2 separate regions of the Mus musculus genome follow, and region 2 is reported to be linked to region 1. The links are microRNA targets in miRTarBase. Many come from high-throughput screens and were not tested one by one. Region 1 holds a microRNA gene; the other region holds the end of a gene's coding sequence.
What was found. The annotated mature microRNA mmu-miR-599 reads UUGUGUCAGUUUAUCAAAC and lies in region 1 at 2,140-2,158, opposite strand. An mRNA with a match to its seed (bases 2 to 7 or 8) in the 3' UTR can be bound and repressed. Matches are read on the target gene's strand: a 7mer-m8 pairs with bases 2 to 8, a 7mer-A1 pairs with bases 2 to 7 and ends in A, and an 8mer does both.

Region 2: the mRNA of Col8a1 is a reported target of mmu-miR-599. Seed matches in the 3' UTR shown: 7mer-m8 at 2,706-2,712.

What each region holds. Positions count from the first base shown.
Region 1 is chr15:35,658,707-35,661,706 of GRCm38, forward strand. Mir599 (microRNA 599) reads right to left here and starts at 2,212; the gene lies at 2,125-2,212. The region is part of intron 30 of Vps13b (vacuolar protein sorting 13B); the gene reads left to right. Mir875 (microRNA 875) reads right to left here and starts at 2,341; the gene lies at 2,264-2,341.
Region 2 is chr16:57,624,157-57,627,700 of GRCm38, forward strand. It overlaps Col8a1 (collagen, type VIII, alpha 1), which reads right to left. Exons shown (of 4, transcript NM_007739.2): 4 at 100-3,544. The coding sequence ends at 2,755. Among named protein-coding and RNA genes, the nearest start is that of Gm51269, 15 kb to the left of the region's middle.

The sequences.
Region 1 (3,000 bases):
CAGAAACTTAGAATACCCAAGATATAAGATACAATTTGCTAAATGCATGAAACTCAAGAAGAACGAAGACCAAAGTGTGGACACTTTGCCCCTTCTTAGAATTGGGAACAAAACACCCATGGAAGGAGTTACAGAGACAAAGTTTGGAGCTGAGACGAAAGGATGGACCATCTAGAGACTGCCATATCCGGGGATACATCCCATAATCAGCTTCCAAATGCTGACACCATTGCATACACTAATAAGATTTTGCTGAAAGGACCCAGATATAGCTGTCTCTTGTGAGACTATGCCAGGGCCTAGCAACACAGAAGTGGATGCTCACAGTCACCTATTGGATGGATCACAAGGCCCCCAGTGGAGGAGCTAGAGAAAGTACCCAAGGAGCTGAAGGGATCTGCAACCCTATAGGTGGAACAACAATATGAACTAACCAGTACCCCCTAGAGCTCGTGTCTCTAGCTGCATATGTATCAGAAGATGGCCTAGTTGGCCATCAGTGGAAAGAGAGGCCCATTGGTCGTGCAAACTTTATATGCCTCAGTACAGGGGAATGCCAGGGCCAAGAAGTGGGAGTGGATGGGTGGGGGAGTGAGTGGGGGAGGGTGTGGGGGACTTTTGGGATAGCATTGGAAATGTAAATGAAATGAATACCTAATTTAAAAAAAAGAAAACAGGTTAAATAGACCTTAAAATAATTTTAAACCTTTAAATCTCCATAATACTTGGCATATAATGCTTGTGTACCATGGCTACTGACATGCAAGACACAAAAATGGTAAAATAGTGTTATGTTTTCTTAAATGCCTATTATAAAATAATTGAATGTTATAATTAAATAGTATTCTGTATGTTTGTTTCCTATATGTGTTCATTGATGAAAGGATGGGTACATGATACATCATACATTCCCTGTTTTTAAAATATCTTTTTAGTGAACTTGTAAATGTGAGATGCTGTAAAGGCCACTTATTTACTGTTTTAGCCTGTATTGACTAGTGTCCACTTACAGCCACAGCCTAACATCTTTACCACAGAGAAGCTAATTAGGTGTCAAATTAAGAAGCAAGGACCATACACATATTCACTACATATGCATAGTAAATTACCTGTATATATCACGTATGAACATCTGGTGAGCAGCAGTGAGGTGGCATGCAGACTTAGAAAGTGTCATTCCCCTGCCCCAGCAATGAACAGTTCTCCTCTGCAGGGTCAGTGTGAAGGACAACTTCCTTCCCACGCATGCTTCTCTTTCTTTATTACAGTGTGCACTGTCATTAGTGTCGTAGGTTAAATAGTTTTTTTATGCACTTAGAAAGGCTTATCCTTTGTTTAGAAGCTGTTTATCCCCTTCATTGAAACCATTCCTTAATCTGATGTTTTTGTTCTGTAATTTCTAACCCTGAACTTTGATAAGGTTAAGATACCAGAAAAGTAGTTCATGTTGGCAAAAGTACTAAGGAACACAGCCCTGATTATCAAGGTAGGTAAAAATGGCCATAGAATGTTTTCTTCTTATTTGTCCTTGTTTCATTCTTGAAGTGATAGTTCCCACAGGAGAAATACTAATTGCTTAAACATAGCCACATTAACACTTCCCCCAGACCCCTGCAGCCTTCACTTCTGCCCATAGTAGCCTATATGTCAAAGATTAACACTGTTCTACCCTTTATGACTATTGGTAACTTTCAAGAAAACTAAATGCTAATTTCAGTTTTTAATTTGTGAATGCTCTTTCCTTAACCTGTGTTTGCCACCTATAAATTTTCTTGTCGAGGATTCTGAACCAAAGCAATACAATAATCGAAAAATATAAAAGTCAATAATTTTGAGCAAAGTCAAAGCATAATTTTAACATAAATTCCTCATATTTTATTATCAGGTAATACATATTTATCCTTAGTGCTATTTTCACCCAAATCCCCTAGCATACCAGTAAACCTTAATAACTGTGGTTATAACTTTAGCAGTGCAACCGTTTCTATCCATATTATTTAAGGCTTTAGTCATTTAGTGAAACTGTCGTATATTTATGCCTTTGGCATTTAGAGAGCACAGAGCTCTTCTACAGGAAATAATGCTTTGAATTCTGGGACTGGTTTTCCTTCCATTGAATTGCTTGTCATCCAGGTATGGGTTTGATAAACTGACACAAAGGTGAAAGAAGTTCCTCTCCTATGTCATCTTATCAAATACACTGTGGACAGCACATCTTTGTGGTGAGTACAGCTGCAGTCACTCAAGGAATCCATGAAGCTTATGCTCAGTGAAACATAGCCTCAGTATTTTCAGGTGATTTTAATGAACACCTGATAAAACTGAGGTATAGTACCACAGAACTGGGAATTTCCCCAAACCTAGGAAAAATAAACAAATGCACAGGGTTATAGGATGGAAGCACCCCTTGTTCATCTTAGTGGCAGAAGAGACATTAATGAAAGAGATAATTCTTTAATTTGCTTTCATTCTGGTAAACATTGTCAAGTTACATTATAAACATACTTGAATTTTAAAATAAGAAAAATGGAATAGAATTGATTTTATATATACTTTCCTATTTTGCATAACATTAGATAGTCTGAATTTTTGCTTTTATCTGGATTCATATTTGTTTAATTTCAATTATTTTATTTGAAAATACATCCTCAGAAGTGTAGTATTTTTTAAAAACAAACAAAAAAGCCTAACAGTACACCAGAATCATTTGTATACTGTCCAGGTTCAAGAATTGTCATGTGAGAAAGATATTTTCTGAAATTTATTCTTGCACTAAAAGTATATAATTCAGGCTCAGGTCAAAAGCTGATTCTATTAATCCAAAGTAACATTGTTAAATCTTTTCAATTTTGGATGAATTTACCTGCTATATACAATATGGAAACACAACTTTGGCGATTCCTTCTATTTTTTTTTTTTTTTAAGTCTTTGCAGAGTAAATGGCATCATACAATTCCAGTACCTTCTCAGTGTGGCTGCAGGGCTGTGTGGACACGGGAG
Region 2 (3,544 bases), not on the chromosome of region 1:
TTTAGACCCTGTATACAGTGGCTGATTACTACAATGTGTTACTAAGAAACACTTTATGTTCAAATAGCGTCAGTTGAATGTTATGAACAAGGCAGGAAACATATTTTTAGAGATATTTAATGATCTGTTTTTCAAATCAGTACAAAAAATTTAAATACAAAATTGATTTGCCATTCAGTCTCAAATCTATTCATGGGAACTCAAGCAAGTTACCGGTCTTTTCATCATTCTTTGTTTCTGTAAAATATTTGAGGACAACTGTCCTCTACAGACATTCCTTTCCCCTGTGGGACGTCATACTGCATTAAAACTCTCTGTTTAAATAGAACAATGCCAGTTTGGTCCATTTCACTTGGAAAAGCTCTAGTTAATTTTGTATTAAAAAGTGATCATAGTACTGTCCCTAGAAAGTAGAACACATACTTGATTCACTTGCTTTCACACCACTGTGGACATGATGGACAACACTCAAAAGGGAAACACAGGTACATAGATAATTATTTAAAACTCTTCTTTAAATTAAATGGAGTATCATTTAGCTCTGATATTAGCACCATGGTAGAATATACAGTATCTGGCATAGATTTTTGCTCCTCCTCCATTTAAAAGCTTAGAAGCATATGCCTGATAACACACACACACACACACACACACACACACACACACACACACAGAGGCAGGCAATTGAGTAACAACCAATAAATAAGTTGGAAGATATCTCAAAAAGTGAAATTTGGTTTAACTTAAGAGATAATTTCTGTCTTTCTTTATGGAAACTAAAATACCATACATGTACAGATAAAAGCAACTTTACAACCCATCTGGCCAGACCATTTCAACGTAGCTATTGAGCAGAAAGAGCGAGGGACCCATATGATTTCCATAGTGACCAGCTATAAGCCAGTGTCCTTAGGAGCGACCCCAAGGAAAGCTGTCCAAAGACATGCTGTTTACTTTGCAAATGAAGGTTTGGTAGGAAATTCGTTTGGATTCGAAGGTGCTCTTGTGTAATTAACAATGAATGAAAAACCTTGTGCTAATAAACACATTCTTTTTTTAAAAATTCAAGAAAAAAATGGTGTCTGTGCCTCATAAAGGGAAAAGACCAATAGTAAGCCGTGGCAAGAAGAACTGTGGTGGTAAAAATAATTCAGATTTTAAATAGACCATGCTTTATACTGTATTTATCTGTGCATTTTCCAATCTATGTCTCTCTCTTCAGCTCCTGGTTTTTAACTTTTGAGAAAAGTAGAATACATTCTATTGCTCTCATTCCACATTATTCCCCTAAGCAACCAAGAGCAGATGAACGGAAAACGTTCAACTGGTCGTGTTTTGAGCATCAGCCAAAGAACCTACTATGTGCCTTAATTAGAATCTGAAAAAAAACAATTTCTCTTTTCCAACATGGTTTGGCTGTGGTGCTAAGCGTGCAGTGGCATCGTAGGCCTGAGGTGCTATGGCTTATGACACTCCAGCTATCTCTTCCCCAGGCGGATGTTAAAGAAACAATTATCTTCCTACAACCGTAGTCCCTATTGCTGGAAGCAACATGCCTGCTTTTGAATATCAAACCTTATAATTACTCTTTTAAAATATAATTTTTCCTATGTAATTCTGATTTTTTCCCCCAAATTAAAAAAAAAAAAGAATGGTTTGGATTTTTGGCAATTGACTTTGGAACCTCATGGCATAAGTCATAGTTTTAAAATTCATAGTTACTGGGAAAAAAAAATGACAGCTACTAAGACAGGTGCAGACAAGGTGAAACCTCACTACACTTGGCTCTGTGGACACATTAGTGTTTTTGTTTTATTTTACACAACTGATAATTGCTATTAATAATAAATGTTCATGAAATGGCAAAGTTGTTTGAGGGAAGGCTTTGTAAAAAAAAGATTTGTTTATATTGCTTAGGCTATGTTATATATTATGTGGAAGGGTGAAGAAGGAAAAAAGAAAAGTTACAGAAAATTCCGAACTGAAACCCTTTAGATGGGTTGATATTTTAATGACTCTGAGCTAAACTATGAGCTCCTGTGGGCTCTGCCCTGCATCCCAGGCTAGCATCTCCTGCCCTGCATCTCACCCAGTTGCTAGGCAAGTAGACTGCTGAGCAGATACACAATGGGCCATTGGTATAGCTTTTCTTTTGGGGACACCACACACATCCACACACAATTCTGACTAGGTAGTCCTGCAGCTCAAAGCATTGCCTCTAACACAGAGAAATATCCTTTGGACTAGAGATTACCATGGACCCTGCACTACAGAAGAACCCTCCAAAATCCCACAGTAAAACACCTGCATGAAATAGAGAGGAAAGCATGCAAATAAATACAGTATGTAACTCTCACCATCAACCTCTTAAGGCATATTCAAAAATACCTTTACAAGGGAGCACAAAGAATGAATACTGTTCATTAGCGATGATGCTCCAGACTGAGATATTTTGACTGATTTGAATAAGCAGGTTATGAAATCATATAACATGGAACAGCTAATGAGTCCGCTGGGTACAACACACGTGTCAGTACTTCATCCATACCTCGGTCCCATGATCCCATTACAATCTGCTGTGCACAGGACTAAACATGCGTTTTAGTTTTTATTTGTACATGATGGTCCAAACTTTCACTTAAATATAACTTTCCAACTATTATAAATGTTTTGAAGCATTGTTTTCAATTGATTTTTTTTTTTGGTGTGTCATTTTCTTTTCTTCTATTAAATCTCTTATTTTTTCTCTTTTTTTTACATGGGATACAATAAATATCCTGAAAAGGAGGAGTGGACATATTGCCCGGCATAGAGTCCAGCAGCCTGTTCTGAAGGCATTTGGAGAAACACCTGGTCTCCGGGACGGAGAAGCAGTACTGCGCTTCCAGATGCTTGGTCCAGAAAGCCCTTCTTGTACTCGTCGTATGTGTACATCATGGGCTCGTTGTTCTTGAAGAGAGCAACCCATACGTTGCCTCCCTTGCAGTGAACATGATAAGCAAAGTAGTAGACACCCGGGACTTCACAGGTGAAGATGCCTGTCTGCGGATTGTAGTTCTGTCTGCCGTTGTAGAGCAGCTTGTCAAACTTCACTGGGGCCCCCACCGGTGGGAAAGGTACAGTCAGCTCGGCAGTAAACGCAGGCATCTCATAGGCTGGCCCTCCGTGTTTGCCCTTTTTGCCCGCATAGGCATGCGGAGGTTTCACCCCATCAATTCCTAGTCCCATATCTGGCAGATACTCTCCCTGGGGTGATGGTGTAGGCATCACAGCTGGAGGGCCTGGGGGTCCTGGAGGACCTGGGGGTCCAGGAAGGCCAGGCTGGCCTTGAGGCCCAAGGGCACCAGGTTTCCCCGGGGGCCCATGAAGTCCTGCTACTCCTGGCTTCCCTACACCAGGGAACCCAGGGGGCCCTGGGAGGCCTGGTTCTCCTTTGGGGCCCGGAATCCCAGGGGGTCCAATAGGGCCACTAGGTCCTACGATCCCTGGAATCCCTGGGGGACCCTGTAGACCCTGATCCCCAGGTATGCCAGGTTCTCCTTTG